Arabidopsis thaliana: one gene and its partner. The protein of the gene in region 2 purifies or fractionates together with the protein of the main gene of each other region. This does not show direct contact. Each region holds a gene or a part of one and is shown on either strand. Other genes may lie near its edges. The genes, in order: IAR4 and FUM1.

Region 1 (8,874 bases), on a different chromosome or scaffold from region 2:
GGACATCAGATGCCTTATGTGAGACTGCTCAGCATGAGAAAATGCTGAAGAATGTAGTTACGTCTGATGAAAAGCCTGAAAGCAAGCAAGCTGTTTCTATTGAGCGTGCACACGATTCAACTGCTCTCGCTGTGGATGGATTATTAGATCAAAGTAATGGAGGAAGCAGTATAGTACACATGACCGGTAACACCTCAAAATCTTGCTTAGAAGTTAGTTCTCTTGGAATTTTTCATTTTCTTTGTACAGTTAATGAATAGTTTCCTCTTTACTTGGTCAGGACATTGCAATAATAATCTGAAGCCTGTGACCTGTGGAACAGAGTTGGAGTTGAAAATGAATGATGGTAATGGGCCAAAATTAGAGGTATAGTTTCAGTGAAGCACGTTTTAGTCCCATCATCTTATATTTTGATCTGATACTTTCTATATAGATGACTCATTTCAAATGAAGGACCGAATTTTGTTGATATGGAACAATATCTCCCATTGTTTGCACTTGGTGCTTAGGTCCTTCATATGGAACTTAGATAGTTTTAAAATTTGAAGTTACACACCCTTAGTTCTGTGTTAACCAAGAGGTGGTACTGATAAACTTTGTCTCACAGGTTGGTAACAAGAAGTTATTGACAAATGGGATCGCGGTAGAAATAACAAGTGACCAAGAGATGGCAGGAACATCCAAAGTTGAAAGAGAAGAAGGTGAACTTTCTCCAAATGGAGACTTTGAGGAAGATAATTTTGCAGTTTATGCAAAAACTGATTTTGAGACCTTCAGCAAAGCGAATGATAGTACTGGAAATAACATTAGCGGAGATAGAAGTAGAGAAGGGGAACCATCTTGTCTGGAGACAAGGGCTGAGAATGACGCTGAAGGTGACGAAAACGCCGCAAGATCATCAGAGGACAGCAGAAATGAATATGAGAACGGTGATGTTTCTGGAACGGAATCTGGTGGTGGTGAAGATCCGGAGGATGATTTGGATAACAATAACAAAGGAGAAAGCGAAGGTGAGGCTGAATGTATGGCTGATGCACATGATGCTGAAGAAAATGGGTCTGCCTTACCCGTTTCAGCACGATTCTTGCTGCATGTAAAGCCCTTAGTAAAGTATGTTCCTTCAGCTATAGCTTTGCATGACAAGGACAAAGACTCTCTGAAGAACTCCCAAGTTTTCTATGGAAATGATTCGTTTTACGTGCTTTTCAGGCTGCACCGGGTAAGAGCTAAAGATCATATACAGTTTGAAAAAATTATAAACAGTATAATCTAAAGTACAAAGAGTTTTCACTAGCTAACTTTACGCTATTACTCTTGACAGATATTGTATGAGAGAATACTATCAGCAAAAGTTAACTCATCATCCCCGGAAGGAAAGTGGAGGACCTCAAATACCAAAAATCCTACTGATTCCTATGCTAGGTGAAATTTGCTTTTTATTGCAGAGATTGTGTGTGTTTCTGGGATTCATATGTGCTCCATACTTATAACTTTAATTAATGTGGAACAGATTCATGACTGCACTCTACAACTTACTTGATGGTACATCTGATAATGCCAAGTTTGAAGATGACTGCCGAGCGATAATCGGGACTCAGTCTTATATTCTCTTCACATTGGACAAACTGATCCATAAATTCATCAAGCATGTGAGTATTTTTGCTCTTTGATGTTTTCTCTATGTATTCACCTCTCTATCTTTACTTGCTTTTTACTAACATACGTGTGGTCATTCTTCAGCTACAAGTAGTAGTAGCTGATGAGATGGACAACAAGCTTCTTCAGCTTTATTTTTATGAGAAATCCAGAAGGCCTGAAACGATTTTTGATGCTGTGTATTACGATAATACCCGTGTCCTCCTCCCTGATGAGAATATTTACCGTATTGAATGTGTAAGTTTTTGCTGCATCTTACATTAGCTACTTATATTCTGTCGATGCACTGCTGATCATGCTTTTGGACTCCAAAACCTCATGTGTATGCAGAGATTATCAACCCCAGCGAAACTCTCTATTCAGCTTATGTGCAACGGTCTTGATAAGCCCGATGTGACATCTGTATCCATTGACCCGACCTTTGCAGCTTATCTCCACAATGACTTCCTCTCCATACAACCAAATGCAAGGGAGGATCGCAGAATCTATTTAAATAGGTAAATGTAAAACATGAACAAATGACTGTCCCTTGATCTCTGAAACCTAGTGGGTCACTCATCAAAGCCAATGCCATTTTTCGTTTTCTCCAGGAACAAGCGCAAAGTTTGTCGTGAAGATGAACAGTTATACAGCACAGATGAAGTTAAGATCAAAAATGGTTTGGAGTGTAAGATAGCTTGCGGTTCTTCAAAGGTAACACTTTTATCTTCTTCCCTATATCACGCTTACCGCTTATGAGTATATCCATGAGAGACCAGCACTTGAAAGCACGTTCTTGAAAATCTCTTGCAGGTCTCCTATGTACTAGAAACAGAAGATTTGTTGGTGCGAGTTAAAAAGAGAAGAAAAACTTTGTGCCACAATCAGGATTCTTGGGTAAGGCAAATGAGGTTACAATATTACAAAAATAACTTCTTGTGACCAGCCTGTAACAATCTGGAAGAAGGATACCAAATCAACTCAACTTGTTCATTCACTCTCCAACTTAACAGAGACAAAACAAAAACAAAAGTGGCAATTCTCCATTGTTGACTTCACCGGATAGAGCCAAACTGCATTCTCTATCTTCATAAGAAGAAGAAGCAACAAAGGATTTGGCTTTTTGTTGTCTGTGACTGAAAAAGAAAACAATCACTCACAAAAATGATGTTACATATGTAAAGTTTGTCTTTATTCACTCTCTTGTTGTAAAGTTTTGTATGTTGTTGTAACATTTATCAAAAATTTCATTTTGTTATGGTATGTTATATAGAAATGAGTCAAATGACCATAAAAGGTTTGACCTTTTCCATAAACGACGCTTCGCCCTCTCCTAACTCTTTCCCTCACTTTAAAAAGATTCGATTTTTGACTGCAAAAAAGAGAATTTCTAAAAGCAAATCGGAGAGCTTCGGCGATGGCGTTATCACGACTTTCTTCACGATCCAACACTTTCCTAAAGCCGGCGATTACCGCCTTGCCCTCCTCCATCCGCCGTCATGTTTCCACAGACTCATCACCGATCACAATCGAAACCGCCGTCCCTTTCACATCGCATCTATGTGAATCACCGTCACGCTCCGTCGAGACTTCATCGGAGGAGATCTTAGCCTTTTTCCGTGACATGGCTCGGATGAGGAGGATGGAGATCGCAGCAGATTCTCTTTACAAGGCGAAGCTGATCCGTGGGTTCTGTCATTTGTACGATGGTCAAGAGGCTTTAGCGGTGGGAATGGAAGCGGCGATTACCAAAAAAGATGCGATTATCACATCGTATCGTGATCACTGTACTTTCATTGGTCGTGGTGGGAAGCTTGTTGATGCTTTCTCTGAGCTTATGGGGAGAAAAACTGGTTGTTCTCATGGTAAAGGAGGATCTATGCATTTCTATAAGAAAGATGCTTCCTTTTATGGTGGACATGGGATTGTTGGTGCTCAGATTCCATTGGGATGTGGTTTGGCTTTTGCTCAGAAGTATAATAAGGATGAGGCTGTGACTTTTGCTTTGTATGGTGATGGTGCTGCGAATCAGGGACAGTTGTTTGAGGCCTTGAACATTTCGGCTTTGTGGGATTTGCCTGCGATTCTTGTTTGCGAGAATAACCATTGTGAGTTTATTTTTTGGTTAATTGTAATTTGTTTGGTGGAATTGTTGAGACTTTTGTGTTGATTTGGATTGTTTGATGTTTAGATGGAATGGGAACGGCTACATGGAGGTCGGCTAAGTCTCCGGCTTATTTCAAGCGTGGAGATTATGTTCCTGGCTTGAAGGTGAGACTGAGTTGTCTTTTGGCATGATCTTGAGCTTTACAATGCTTTTGCTTTGATGAGACTGAGTTGTCTATAGCACGCTTTTAGTTGATACAGGGTTTCCTTGTGTGTTTTAGACCACTGGGTCGACTATGGAACAGCTAGGTAGTGAGGATAGGGTTTTAGACACAAATTGAATGAGAAAGGACAAACCTTCACAGTTGTGTGTTCGGATCAAGTGTAACTTTGTGAGAACTACCAAAAGGAATTGTCTCCAAAGTCTCTATCTTTGTTGTTTTACAGAAGTTGCTTCAGTTTTTTATTACTTTACCCAATAGAATTGTATCCGTTGTTTTTCTGATTGGTGAGAGTGTGAACTTAAAGCTAACGAATGATTATCTTTTGCTTTGTTTTCTAGGTGGATGGTATGGATGCACTGGCTGTGAAACAGGCGTGCAAGTTTGCCAAGGAGCATGCTCTCAAGAATGGTCCTATTGTAAGTATTACAGCTGCTCCTGTTGGTTTTATGAAATCGATACCTAATCAATATGACTCTTAGCATTTTATGCAAATTAAGAATTCGTAGAATCATTTATTACTTGCATGTGTGATGCTACTTTGGTTGGGGAGAATGGTTAGCTGGTAACTTCTACCTAGCCTAGATTTGGATTGAACGAGGTTTATTTGGAGAAAACAAGACTTCTTAAGTACCTATGTTGTTAATTTGTTTGCTGTTTCCGGGAGAGTGTGACAGGCGTGATTGACAAGCTCCTAGGATTTCTATTAAAAGTACTAGATAAGTAGATATCACTAATATCTCTTGGAGTTTTTGGTGTGTACCTACTTATGAAGTGAAATTATACCATGTTGACTTCAGCTTCCAACCAATTTTCCTTTTTTGCATTTTGTCACCAACACAAATGGGACAAGCATTTTGGATCTTGTGAATTCAATCACATAGCGTTGACATTTATCGTATTTTTATAATCCATTCTCTACCTAGTGATTATGACCAACATACCATTGCCATTATTTGCGCAGATCCTTGAGATGGACACTTACAGATACCACGGTCACTCTATGTCTGACCCAGGAAGCACTTACCGTACTCGTGATGAAATCTCTGGCGTGAGACAGGTTAGTTCTTTGTTCATTTGTAAGACTACTGCTCCAACCATATGCAATTTGAAACTTTTTAATCTGTAAAGTTTTCATCGGTGTTACCTTTAGGTGCGTGATCCAATTGAAAGGGTGCGAAAGTTGCTCTTAACTCATGACATAGCTACCGAAAAAGAGCTTAAGGTACCCTGTTCACCACCTTCCCATTCCAGACAAAAAGCTTGAAAAAAATTATACATACAACCATCAAACTTGACTATGGAAATGACAAAATTCTTTTGACATTAAAGGACATGGAGAAAGAGATAAGGAAAGAAGTAGATGACGCCGTAGCTCAGGCCAAGGTAATAATCTTAATTGTTTCTATCTTTGTCCTTGTTATTTATCAAAACACGAACTAATTCCTTGCTGTTTAACTTGTTTCAGGAGAGCCCGATACCAGATGCATCTGAGCTATTCACAAACATGTACGTGAAAGACTGCGGAGTTGAGGTACTATCACATCCCACTCTTTCACATCTATTTATTTCTTTTGTAACCCTGTGGCGTTGGTAGTTGTTGGCATATGAATCTAGAGATTTACGCATTTTCCTCCATTGAAATTTGCAGTCGTTTGGAGCAGACAGAAAAGAACTCAAAGTAACACTTCCATAGAATCTTGCTTCCCAAGGAGATGATTGGTTCAATAAATCAGAAGGCAAGGCTACACAAATCTTTTTAACTTGCTACCAAAAATATTTCTGGTTTTTTTTTTTTGTATTTTCATTTCAAGTGTAAAGCCATTGCTTCACCAGTTTGCCAACTTTTGTTTCCCACACTTCAATTTGACACCAAGCAAAAGAAGCTTCGGATATCACTCTGTGAGATAAAGTTAGAGAAATAAGCAGAGAGTAGTTAAGAGAAAGATCATCAGCTTCTTTGTCTCAAGTAGAAAAATGTCGACATGTGATTACAAAATCATCAAGACCCCGTGTTAAATTCGTTATCTAATATATATAAAAATAAAAAGGCAAAACCAACTTCTGCGTCGGTACCAATAAAACCACATGAATAGTTATGTCTCCACCACCTAACTTGAATAATCTTTGCTTCTACTCTACAAGTCCCTTTCTCATCATCCCCCACATCAACACCAAATCTTATTGAATAGGTAAACTCTATGACGCCACTCACTCTCTTTCTTAATACTTAAATTAGATTAGATTTCTTGCAACAACTAATCACTACAAAAGAACATTGATGATTGATTGCTTTTTCCTTTGTTAACCAAGCATTTGGTTCTCTCTGTAAGCCAATAGAAACCAAACAAACCTTTGCTTAGTTTTTTACTCGGTAAATAATTAGTTTGACAAGTAACAAGTTTATATATTATATAGTGTTCAGTGTTTTAACTTATTCAAGAATATTCTCTCTATATCATCAAATCAAATATGTTCAACGGAATCTTCATCGTGTTCTCTTCTCATATCCGAGAAAAAGTCCTTAAGAAAAACTCGAGAAAGTGATACATGAATGGTATTATTGAAAATGTTATTCATATAATAAGATGTTACGTCTGACCATGAGCTGCACTACCCAACGGGAATATTCGGATTTAATTGGCTTGGTAGTCGCTACCAACAGCCCAATAATATATATACTAACACTAAGAAGAGAACAAAACTTCAACTTTAATATCCCAATAAAATGTGCCGACAACAAAAACATATATATTTTCTAATGAAATTTCTGAGAAAACAAATTATGAATGATAGTCACGAGTCTTATTCGTCGGTGAAACCATAGTTTAAAAAACTATCCTAACATTTGATATTGATTTCTCTTAAAATTCTTGTACTAGTTTCTACAAATTGTGAAATTGCATTAACTTTTATAACAGTAAATCATTGTTAAATGATTGAGACATGTGAGTGAATCTATAGTTTCCTTGTTTGGTTGTACAAAATCCAGTGCTTTTCTCTACCGTTTTGTTATGTAAAAGGAAATTATTCAATTTTCCTTAACATTCTTTAGGAAAAATATATACTCTTTATGAACATATACCTTGCTTGTCTGTCAAAAATCTGATATCTATAAAATTAAAGGCAAAAAAGGATAGTATTATTTTTATTTATTTTCCAAAAACATTCCTGGGGAAATATTGTCTAGGGTAATTATTGCTTATTATGCTTGCCAGTACGAAAATCACAAAAAATAAAACATTTTTCCACTGGCAAACAAACATTTATTAGCAAACATTTTTCCAATGCCATTACTACATTACAAGCAAATAGGTGTGCAGCGCACGTGACAAGTTGAGTTCTCATCGTTTAATCTCAACCGTCCAATTACCAAAAAGCGAATCATCCAGCTGTTTCCCTCGACCTACACAGCTGGCACCGCCTTAATGGGCCAAGACCTTAAAACTCACCTAAATCTTGTAGTAATTAACCTTTTCGTTAATTACAGTCTTAGGGATTTGTTTCTTCAACACTTTCCCTTAACGACTAAGCCTTAATGACGTCTCACGCGTTTTTTTAATACGCGCGTGATTCGTATTCTCCTAATTTAGGAAAACAAAATCATCAAAAGTTAAAGGCAATGACAATGAGCAAAAATGACTCTTTCATAACCAATCTTTCTTCTTCTTCTTCTTCTTCTTCTTCCTCTTTCCTTATCTCTCCATCTCTGTGGAGAGACACAAAACTTCCAAAAAGGAACATTCTTTCAGTTCTTTACTTAATCTTTCACAATGCTAAATCATTAGCCGTTGATAAAGTCTTAATCTTTGATTCATTCAAACGCGTTTTTGTTTAGTAATGTCGTCGCGTTTTTCTTTGACGGTGGTGTGTTTGATTGCTCTGTTACCGTTTGTTGTTGGTATACGGTTGATTCCGGCGAGGATCACGAGTGTCGGTGATGGCGGCGGCGGAGGAGGTAATAATGGGTTTAGTAAACTTGGTCCGTTTATGGAAGCTCCGGAGTATAGAAACGGCAAGGAGTGTGTATCTTCATCAGTGAACAGAGAGAACTTCGTGTCGTCTTCTTCTAGTTCTAATGATCCTTCGCTTGTTCACATCGCTATGACTTTGGACTCAGAGTATCTCCGTGGATCAATCGCAGCCGTTCATTCTGTTCTTCGCCACGCGTCTTGTCCAGAGAACGTCTTCTTCCATTTCATCGCTGCTGAGTTTGACTCTGCGAGTCCTCGTGTTCTGAGTCAACTCGTGAGGTCGACTTTTCCTTCGTTGAACTTTAAAGTCTACATTTTTAGGGAAGATACGGTGATCAATCTCATATCTTCTTCGATTAGACTAGCTTTGGAGAATCCGTTGAACTATGCTCGGAACTATCTCGGAGATATTCTTGATCGAAGTGTTGAACGAGTCATTTATCTTGACTCGGATGTTATAACTGTGGATGATATCACAAAGCTTTGGAACACGGTTTTGACCGGGTCACGAGTCATCGGAGCTCCGGAGTATTGTCACGCGAACTTCACTCAGTATTTCACTTCCGGGTTCTGGTCAGACCCGGCTTTACCGGGTCTAATCTCGGGTCAAAAGCCTTGCTATTTCAACACAGGAGTGATGGTGATGGATCTTGTTAGATGGAGAGAAGGGAATTACAGAGAGAAGTTAGAGCAATGGATGCAATTGCAGAAGAAGATGAGAATCTACGATCTTGGATCATTACCACCGTTTCTTTTGGTGTTTGCGGGTAATGTTGAAGCTATTGATCATAGATGGAACCAACATGGTTTAGGAGGAGACAATATACGAGGAAGTTGTCGGTCATTGCATCCTGGTCCTGTGAGCTTGTTGCATTGGAGTGGTAAAGGTAAGCCATGGGTTAGACTTGATGAGAAGAGGCCTTGTCCGTTGGATCATC
Region 2 (10,232 bases):
AAGTACATCACCGGTTTGGTAAGATGTCATGGGATGTAACACATATAATGTGAAATCGAAAATGTAGTTGCACCTTGGATGGGGTAGGTTTTGTAGCCAGATTTGCACAAGATGAAACCTTCGATGGCGATGTCAGGGTTTGATTTTGGCAAGTATGGAGTCTTAACCGGTGATGTGTAGGTGGTTGTTGGTTTGGGAACGTAAGGTTGTGGTTGCGCATAGTAATCGGCAGTAGCCACAACCACCACCATCGCGAGGAGGAGGAGGTTAGTGGCGGCGCCTGTGGATGCCATTGTTAGTAGTTGCTCGTCTGTTGTTGGTTGTTTAAGGTCTGATCACAAGACATGGCCTCCTTTATATATGTGGAACACAATGTCGACAGAAGTATCTTAAGATTATATAGGACAAGTGTCAACTAGATGTTGGCCGGAAGAGAAGAGACATAATTGGGTGCACGTTTAAATTTTTATATTTCCCCACCAAAACCTAATAATATTGATCGAGAAATGTTTTGATAATTATTACTCATCACACTACACCAAGCTAGGATCCGAATTGAGAAGGAAGGAATTACTGTTTTGTGGTTAATTCTTGAGTGAAGTATTTATAAATACGTATTTACATGCATGATTAGATAAATTAACTAAAACAAATAGAAGAATTTGGTAGGAATTAATATTACGCCATGTAATATAGTATTTGATGTGGGAGTAGAAATAATTAAGAAAGCGTTATGGTTCAAATGATAACTGCAAATTCTATGATTAATTAACTTATTATTATTTATAAGTTGTTAATGGTAGTTGCAAAAGGTTATAGAGCACACAGTAAATAAAGTAGATGATATTAATAAAAGTTTCTAGAAGAACTTGGTCGTCAAGCAAAAACAGCAACAACTCTGACATTGTCTCACTATATAAAACCCAAATTCTCTTTCTCTTTTAGGACTCGGTTCAAAAACGAAAACGCAAATACGTCTTGTTCTAGTTTGGAGTTGGAAGCGTAAAAAACAAAAAACAAAAATGTGTGGGGGAGCTATCATTTCTGATTTCATCTGGTCGAAATCTGAGTCAGAACCGAGTCAACTCGGCTCTGTTAGCAGCAGGAAGAAGCGTAAACCCGTCTCAGGTACAACACTTTTGGTTTCGAGTTTTGTTTTTTTATTATAAAACCTAATATATCCGTTTCTGATTCGGGAATATCTTCGAACAGTGAGTGAAGAAAGAGATGGGAAACGAGAGAGGAAGAATCTGTACAGAGGGATAAGGCAGAGGCCATGGGGCAAATGGGCAGCGGAGATTCGTGACCCGAGCAAAGGTGTACGTGTCTGGCTTGGCACATTCAAAACCGCCGACGAAGCTGCTCGAGCCTACGACGTTGCTGCCATCAAAATCCGTGGCCGGAAAGCCAAACTGAATTTCCCAAACACTCAAGTAGAAGAAGAAGCCGATACTAAACCAGGGGGGAATCAAAATGAGCTGATTTCGGAAAACCAAGTAGAGAGCTTATCGGAGGACCTGATGGCATTGGAGGATTACATGAGATTCTATCAGATTCCGGTTGCCGACGACCAATCGGCGACCGATATTGGAAATTTATGGAGCTATCAAGACTCCAATTAAATCTCTTATTTCCCGGCCGGTTTGCTCACTCATTAATATGCTGCTAATTTACTTGTTTTTTACTTAACAATCAAGTCTAATTTGTTTCCATCAATATTTCAGATAAGAGTAAAGCTTCAATTGTCTTTAAAAACAGTTTTCAGTGCTTTATATAAATAGTTTGTCAAGAACAAACACACTAAACACCGTCGTTTATAGTCTTCACCATGTTTTTTTTTTGTTTGATTAGATATGATATCACAGAAACAATTCATATTTAAGTTTAAGATTCTCATTCTCGTTTTGTTTTCAACACCTAAATTTTGAACTTCAAAAAAAAATAAAAATAAAAATTTAATATGTTAAGTATAGAGATTTTTTTTCTTTCAAAAAGAACATTAAATGTAATCATGGAGACAGTCTCGGGGAAACCGCGGTTGTGGCGGCGGCGGAGCGGAATCTGTTGGCTTGAGGACGCTCATGGTTTCATCGTCTAAAGGTGTGTCATGTTTGTATTCTTTTACACCTTTACGCTACGTCATAAGCCTCGTTCAATTTGAGGTCTAACAAAAGCCCAGTAAAGCCAATCCAATTTTAATCGGCCCAAAGAGTAATAAATCCTAGCGCCAATAAGGCTCGTACCGTGAGCCCACCGAGGAGAGAGAGACTAACGAAACTCAGAAATTCTTCTCGCTGAGTACTCACTCTCTTATTCAACACAAAAAAAAAATTGATACATAAAGAAGATCATAGTTTAGCCGTAAGATGAAGAACAATGTTGCCCTCCCAAGAAAATTTGAATTGTTTCTGGATTTGCTCATTTTTATTATAACCTAAATAAAAGCATCAGAAGAATAATGGTACTTGAAGCTTTGGCTCCAAAAACAACTATCAATCGGAGGGACCAATCATCTTCTCAGGAACAACAAGTGTATCAAACTCTTCCGCAGTAAGCACGCCTAAATTCAGAGCCGCTTCCTGTAGGATAAATTAAAACTCAAGGTTTAACATACTATAGAACCTGTTTACAATAAATTTATGTAATCTGCATTGCAGATATATTTGCTATCAAACTGCTGATGCAGGCAATAACGTCTTTCTCTTGTTGCCAATCAATTTCAATTCTCTATAATAAATTGTTTCTTGTGTTTACCTTCAATGTACATCCTTCTTTGTGAGCTTTCTTGGCAACTGCTGCAGCATTGTCATACCCGATTTTCTGGTAAAGAGGATAAGGATTCCAAAACTCAGCATCAAAGTACATTCATTAGTAATCCTAATGGTAAAACGGATGACTAAAAAGGCGGAGTTCAATATTTAGAGACTTACCGGATTCAATGATGTCACAAGCATAAGAGACTACAGATAAATACATGGAACAAAATAATCAGTTCCCAGATATCATTTTCGTTTGATGGAAAATTTTCAGACCAACAAACGAGAATAAGCCTACCTCGTGCAATAGCTTTGAGATTCTTTCTCTGTTGGCCTCAATGCCCCTCACACAGTTTTTCTCGAACGAAGCTGAAGCATCTGCTATTAATCTGACGGACTGTCAAAGAGGCGAGATCAAATGGTTAAGACTGGTATATTTTTATATAAAATCAAGGAAACAGACGTAGAATGAAAATGATTGACATACATGTAAAAGAGCACTCGCGATCACCGGCTTGAATACATTCAATTCGAAATGACCATTTGACCCACCAACTGTCACAGCTACATGGTTTCCCATAACCTGCAATGTTATTGGTTGCAACCCAAACAGTCAAGGAACAATAATACAACCTTAGCATCTAGATTCATTGGTCTGTACTAAGAATGTATTGATAGATGGGACTTACCTGTGCACAAACCATAGTCAAGGCCTCACACTGTGTAGGATTTACCTTCCCCTGAGAAAGAGATAAAAATTCATTTGAATCAAAACTAGTGAAAAAGAAAAGGACAGAAGAGCAAAGGAAGATTGCATTCATACAGGCATGATACTGCTTCCTGGCTCATTTTCAGGTAGTACAAGTTCACCAAGACCACATCTTGGGCCACTATATAAAGACATGGTAAACCATAAGGACATAGTGCATGTTAAAGAAAGAAAAAAATAATCCCTATAGATTAGATCCATACCTTCCAAGAAAACGTATATCATTGGCGATCTTCATCAGCGATGTGGCGATTGTGTTAAGTGACCCACTGGTTTCAACACAAGCATCGTGTGCAGCCTGGAAAAAGCAGAATAATTTAGCAACTGATTTCACCGTTTAGGAACATCTTGTCTAGTTGGCACCAGAGGCAGAGCTAGGAATGGGTTTCGTGTCAATAAATAATAGAGGTAGTTTGGAGGCTACCAGAGCTTCAAACTTGTTTTCTGCAGTGACAAATGGCAAGTTTGTTTCTTCAGCTACTGCAGCAGCTATCTTTACATCAAACCTGTACAGATATTACTAGTGTTACTACAGTGGACAAAGCCCACTAATAAAACATCAAATTTAGGAGAGATGAACCTGGGATGGAATTATGGAAATAAAATTAGAAATGAGATATACCCTTTCTTAGTGTTTAATCCTGTCCCAACCGCAGTTCCACCTTGTGCAAGCTGGCCAAACATTTCCAGCAAGTTAGACCTCAGTATAAACTGGAGAAGTACAGGAAATCAGATCCCCAAAAGATATCATTTCCCAAACCTGATAGAGGCGAGGAAGAGTGCAGGTGACTCTATTTAGTCCATACTTAACCTGCAGGTGAGTTCCAGATTGTATGTGATTTTCAACTTTGTTAGACAAACACAGTTTTCTGAACAAAACCACTTACTTGAGTAGCATAGCCACCAAATTCTTGTCCTAGTGTCAAAGGTGTAGCATCTTGAGTGTGAGTTCTTCCAATTTTCACAATATCTTTGAACTCGAAGGACTGCCAGAAACAAGGTAAGTTTGGAAAGAATTAGGATTCAGAGCAGATAGACCATAAAGCCCAAGTGCAAATGCAATAGGAATGTGAAGAGGTCTAGAAAAGCAGGATTATATAACAAAGTGGCAGGGTCAGAAGATGTTCCTTAAACGCAACAATGCAACATCTACAAAGCAACTCTCACATACAAATAGTACCACACAGAACTAATATCAGAAGTGATCCATGATACTATAGAGGTCAGAGCAAGTTTTATTTTTAAAGAGTCTTGTGTTGCAGTTTAGCGACTAGATCAAGTGTGTCACTTAAGAAGGAGCAAGAAAAAAGTCAGACCTTAGATTCCAAAGTGCTATGCAAAGTTTTTAAACTAGGGATGAGCCTCGAATTAATCTCGGTTGCAGCTGCAATGTGCATGACCTAGACAAAAGCCAAAAAAAAAAAAAAGACCGTCAATTAGAAGTTGAAAGGGAAGTGAGCCAACATATAAGAAAGAAAAATTTTAAAAACTTAAAGCATGTAAAAAGTATTGGTAGCTGGAATGCAAATGAAAGCTTACGGTAGGAAAAGTGTCGTTAGAAGATTGTGATCTGTTCACATGGTCATTTGGGTGCACACATTTCTCACCACGTTTGCGACCAAGAATCTCAGCTGCTCTATTAGCAATGACCTGTGAAGAGCAAATAACAAGGCCAAAAGAAAATGAAAAAACATAAACAGAAAGCCTTCTCTTGTAGCTAGCTATATACAATGAGATCCTCAACAGATGTCTCAAAAACTGCAAAGAAATTACCTCATTAGCATTCATATTACTCTGAGTCCCACTACCAGTTTGCCAGACAACAAGGGGGAAATGATCATTGAGCTTTCCCTCAGCTACTTCCTGAGCAGCTTGCATAATTGCTTTCCCAATCGTCGGATCAAGACCGTATTCCATGTTAACCTATAAAATTATATTAACTCAATTCATCACAGAACCAAATACGAGAAAGCAAATGAGAATTCAGATGCAAATTAACCCCAAAACCTGGAGCTAGAATGTTACCTTGGCAGCGCATTTCTTCAAGACGCCAAAAGCGCGGACAATTGGTTCAGGCATTCGCTCGCGCTCACCACCGATTTCGAAGTTCTGCAGCGATCTCTGCGTCTGGGCTCCCCACAATCTGAGACACACAACAAATAAAACACTGTGAAACGTTTCCCTCGAGGATAAGAGAAAATTCGACGTTGCGTAAAGATCAGATCCCGAACTTATCGGAAGGAACTTGAATCGGCCCGAAGGTGTCCCTCTCCTCCCTAAACGAGGTCGAATAAGATCTCAGAGAGGTGGCATAACGCAGCGCCGTCACAGTTGTTCCGCCGGAGAGCCGTCGCGACGCGACGTAAATCGACATGGATTCTTCTACCTGACAGTAAAACTGCAGTCAACAAAGAGGCGAGCGAAGAATCATCAAACTACGCATTTCTCAATCCAGGATAGGATTACGAATCTGTAAACGTAAATAGCAAAAACAAAAACCTTGGAAGACGGAGATGGAGAGCTGAGAGAAGACGACGGATCAAGTTGCACAAGAGCAGAGGGAGAAAGAAAGATAGGGCAAACAACAAAAATAAAATTATAATATTCGAGAAACGGATTCAACGAATCAGAAGGTTGGTCGATATTTGAAAAGTACTATGCTTTTTTTTTTTCTGTTGTGAAATAATACTTTCCCAAATTTTACATATTTCTAATAAAATATTTTTATACTAGCAAAGATTGCAAAAGTTGTAACTAATTAGAAGAAATGCAACAAGTCTCTGATTTGAAGCATTATAGAATATACTAAAAAAACTCTCAAGCAAATAGTTAACAAACAAATCTTTCATATTTTTTATGTTCAGCTAGTGGAAGAATATACATAGAACAGAAAAGTAAAACAAAACCCAAGAAAGAGAGCAACAAGAAGAAACTGTTGTTGCATTGTCTAGCTATTGTCTTTGTCTGTGTTATGTATATAAAAGCTCGCACAACCAAACGAGAGAAGAAGAAACAATAAAAACCAATGGATGAAAAATAAACAAATCAAAACCAATAAGAAGCCATGTGAGTGTGTATGTATGTATCCGTGTGAGTGAGTGGCCTTCAATGTCTGGCGTTAGTAGCTTTCCGCTTCATATCAGCAGGACCGAACTGTTTCATGCCACGAGGACCATTCCCTACCTTCTGTGAAGCCAAAGGACGTGAAACCGTGTTGTTTGAGTTGTTCCTGCATTTTTTTTGGAACCATTCAAAAGAAACTGTTAAAGATTTTCTATATTGTTGTTTCATTTAGTTTTTGACCGAGTAAAGGACACTTACCTGGATTGAGGACTTCTTATAGGTTTTGAGACGGGTTTCTTGAGTTTTGACTCAATATTGCTTCTTGTAGGTATCTTGGTGGACTGGTTGAATTGCCAGAGCAAATCTGGCTCAGATGAGTCACTTGTGGCTGCATCTAGATCGTCTGTGCTGTTGTTGTTTCCCATGAAGATGTTGTAAGAATGTTCAGAGAATATTCTTGAAGTGTCTGAAGCCAAATCTCTCCTGTAAAAATCTTCCGGCAGAATACCAATACCATTCTCTGTTGTGGCTCCTCCCCAAAGACTCTCCACTCTTCTCATCTCGTCTTGTCTGTTATTCACCATCACCTTGTCAACCCACTCGCTGGACCCGAAACTTCGGTCATCCTCTCTGTAGGCTTGTCCTGGACTTGCTACTGGTGGCCAAGGTGGTGAGTTCACTGTAATCTCCTCCACTTCACAACTCTCAGATTTCTTTGTCATGATGTTATTGTTATGAATCTGCAATCACTCAGAAAACAATGTCCACTTTGAGATCTGATTTTAAATCATAGAGAAGGTGCTTGAGAAAAGAAGAATCACCTCTACTTCACCAGTTTTGGCTTTGTGTTTCTCAGAGCCACCAGGAGTTTTCAAGATGTTGTTCTGCTGTGACTCTGCTTCTTTTCTCGCGAGTGCTGCTTTAAGAGTAGCAATCTGTAAACAAAGCAAAAGCCCATGTGTGTGAGACAATCAAATACTATCAACCAAGAAAGTGAAACCATCAGATTCAGTTAATGCAAAAAGAGAAAAAAAAAACCTGTTCTTTGAGTTCCTTAACATCTGAAGTATCATTGTTCACTCGTGCAGCCCCAAGCTCAACCGTAGCTACTCTCTCTGCAAACTTCAAAGTGCTTATTGTTTCCCCAACTGCATCTGCCTCAGGACTAATGTGGACAAACATCAATGTCTTTGCTTGTCCTCCTGATATAACATATTTGCAATCCCAAGTTAAGAAAAAGGTGAGTTTTTATTTAGCTGCAAATATTCAGGACTAAATTACTTGTATCCTTTTACCAAGAGAGTCCTGAAGGAGTTGTGTGAGTTTGCTGTTTCTGTAAGGAACATGTGGGTTCTTGTGAGCTAGCGAAGCAATCACATCTCCTAAAGCAGAGAGCGATCTATTGATGTGCTGTGCTTCTTTTAGTCTGTCTCCAGTAACCTCGGATTTGTCTACCCTCTCACTGCCTGCTAGATCCACAAGATGCATGCATCCTCGAAGCACAGCTCCTGAAGTCAAGTCTCTTCCTTGAACATGAACAGTCAAGCAGCTGCAAAAAAAAATAAGATTGAAAAATGTTATATTGAGTAAGACTCTTGAAGATTATTTTTTGTTCTCGCTGCTCTTGAAAACATTTTGTCTTTTACCTATGAGAACGACTGCTTCGATCATTCAAGGCTGTTGATCCAACGGCTCGATTCTTGTGCCCAGTTTTCATTAGATCAATAACATCAAATGTTGAAGAGACTGGAACAAGACTTGCATCCGGTACACTTAGACCCTTTTGAGAGCTATTCCTGATCTCTAACGTACCAAAAAATGTTAAGGAATATGAAACTGAAACATGAAAATGATCTCTCTCTCTCTATCTAATCAAAACATTAAGAAGTATATCCATTCATGAAAAAGGATATCTTTTATTGCTTCCATCAGTAACCAAAAGGTCTCTAACTTGCTCATTGTAAATCTCAATCATCTGAACTGCAATATCGTAGCGGAATGTGTCTTTTCTTTGTTCAGCAAGAAGAAACAGATCACCAAGTGCTCTGTAATTAACTCCCTGGCTCTTCTCCGTTAGATCTCTTGGTCCACTCTAGAAAATTTACAAAAATGGAAACATTAAAATTCTCTAGCTTCAAATGTTAACAGTCTTCAAAATTTATTCAACTCTAATCTTACCATTGTGAATGTTTTTCCTGATCCAGTTTGACCATATGCAAATATGCAGACATTGTATCCATCAAGAACAGAACGGATCAATGGCTGCATATCAGAAAATACCTCTTCTACAAAGAGCAAGATAGATCCTTCAGGTTAAATTCAATCACTAGAGAATAACAGCAAGGCATTTCAATTACATTACCTTGAGTTGCAGATGGGCCAAAGACTTTGTTGAAAGTGAAGGATTTGAGTGATTTTCCATGTCTAGATGCAGTATTGATCCCTATGGTATCATCCTCCATGTTCCCAATTGTACTAGAAAAGCTGGATTGTCCAGGCAAAAATGGCCGCACCCGACAATAAACACGGATGCTACCCTTGAGATCCTGCACTTGATTATAAAGTTTTCGGTTTTCTTCAAGAACTCGGTGATAGCCAGAAGCAGCATGAGCAAGGCCATGAACGTGCATACCTGTAGACAGATATAGATTCATTAGTGTCAAATTCTTGGATATCCAAAAAAAACTTTCTTAGAAAGTAAGAGAAGAAAGATCTGAATACCAAGAGAAGAGAACTCTTCTTGAAATTTCTTCTGCATAAATTGCATACCAGCCCTTGTTGTGTAGAGCGTCTGTCTTAGTCCCTAATAAACATAAAGAACAGCAGATACACTCAGAATCTGTGCTATCCTAAACTCAAAGAAATGGTGGGCAGTGTAGTGCTTACTTCTATATCTTCTTGTTGTTGGTTGAAGATTGTCAGTTGTTTAAATTGGCGAGTTTTCATCTTTTCGTCAAGAATCTGACTATTGTGATCATCTTTCTTTATTGCTTTGAAACTCTTCTCTTCCCTCTACAAAGGCACTTCATTAATCAGCAAAAACTTCTAAGTTTTATTTTACGGAAATAAATTGAAGACTTTACCTCTCTTTCACCAAGAGGTTTAAGAAATGATCTGTTGTTCTGTGACGAAGTTGATTCTCTTGGAGCTGCTCTAACCTTCGCATGACAGAACTCCTTAGATTAGAAGATATTTTGTGGACTAACCAATTGAACCAAGAGACAGACGTAGAAACAAGAAACTTACCAACTCATACTGATTTGTAACTCGATTTTCAAACTCTTCGACTACTTTACTCAGCAGAGATTCAATCAGCTGTTACCACAACAATAAGCACTTACATCAAGCCACAAAGCCAGACGATTTAAAGTAACGAGAAATGACAAATGTTTTTGTATAGCAGAGCAGGTAAGTGAACTAGTCTCGAACTTACTTTGGGCACATCCTCAGGCTTTTTATCTGATAGAACAGCGCGAACAAGTGTGCTCAAGGAACTGGGACTGGACTGAAAACATAAGCACAAAGACCATAAACATCAAATATTCCACTTGAGAACACAGAACCAACCAGAGACAATTGAAGAGGCCAACCAGCTTGTTAGAATCATTCTCAGAGGGAGCTTTCTCATTGTTGATCGAGGAGGT

What was found.
Region 1: the proteins of FUM1 (region 2) and IAR4 purify together in Arabidopsis thaliana (affinity purification with mass spectrometry, with the first as the bait; one large-scale study listed by BioGRID). This does not show direct contact.

Annotation. Positions count from the first base shown.
Region 1 is NC_003070.9:8,557,561-8,566,434, reverse strand, and holds IAR4 (thiamine diphosphate-binding fold (THDP-binding) superfamily protein), read left to right. Parts: upstream 1-2,932; 5' UTR 2,933-3,052; coding exon 3,053-3,743; intron 3,744-3,826; coding exon 3,827-3,906; intron 3,907-4,303; coding exon 4,304-4,381; intron 4,382-4,926; coding exon 4,927-5,022; intron 5,023-5,115; coding exon 5,116-5,187; intron 5,188-5,294; coding exon 5,295-5,348; intron 5,349-5,430; coding exon 5,431-5,496; intron 5,497-5,613; coding exon 5,614-5,658; 3' UTR 5,659-6,015; downstream 6,016-8,874. Other genes in the region: SNL3 (SIN3-like 3), read left to right, coding at 1-186, 281-366, 608-1,219, 1,322-1,422, 1,511-1,649, 1,741-1,893, 1,987-2,153, 2,247-2,349 and 2 more; LGT9 (Nucleotide-diphospho-sugar transferases superfamily protein), read left to right, coding at 7,803-8,874. UniProt on the Arabidopsis thaliana protein: The pyruvate dehydrogenase complex catalyzes the overall conversion of pyruvate to acetyl-CoA and CO(2).
Region 2 is NC_003071.7:19,494,281-19,504,512, reverse strand, and holds FUM1 (fumarase 1), read right to left. Parts: upstream 6,285-10,232; 5' UTR 6,025-6,284; intron 6,010-6,024; exon of another isoform or gene 5,924-6,009; 5' UTR 5,900-5,923; coding exon 5,757-5,899; intron 5,669-5,756; coding exon 5,551-5,668; intron 5,449-5,550; coding exon 5,299-5,448; intron 5,176-5,298; coding exon 5,065-5,175; intron 4,926-5,064; coding exon 4,842-4,925; intron 4,512-4,841; coding exon 4,413-4,511; intron 4,337-4,412; coding exon 4,286-4,336; intron 4,198-4,285; coding exon 4,148-4,197; intron 4,032-4,147; coding exon 3,950-4,031; intron 3,824-3,949; coding exon 3,729-3,823; intron 3,647-3,728; coding exon 3,580-3,646; intron 3,497-3,579; coding exon 3,446-3,496; intron 3,340-3,445; coding exon 3,244-3,339; intron 3,154-3,243; coding exon 3,055-3,153; intron 2,961-3,054; coding exon 2,931-2,960; intron 2,821-2,930; coding exon 2,755-2,820; intron 2,580-2,754; coding exon 2,493-2,579; 3' UTR 2,025-2,492; downstream 1-2,024. Other genes in the region: AT2G47530 (Pollen Ole e 1 allergen and extensin family protein), read right to left, coding at 74-293; ERF71 (Integrase-type DNA-binding superfamily protein), read left to right, coding at 1,023-1,128, 1,213-1,622; AT2G47500 (P-loop nucleoside triphosphate hydrolases superfamily protein with CH (Calponin Homology) domain-containing protein), read right to left, coding at 6,631-6,754, 6,847-7,328, 7,410-7,523, 7,627-7,790, 7,884-8,137, 8,235-8,396, 8,502-8,680, 8,767-8,873 and 7 more. UniProt on the Arabidopsis thaliana protein: Catalyzes the reversible stereospecific interconversion of fumarate to L-malate. Catalyzes the hydration of fumarate to L-malate in the tricarboxylic acid (TCA) cycle to facilitate a transition step in the production of energy in the form of NADH.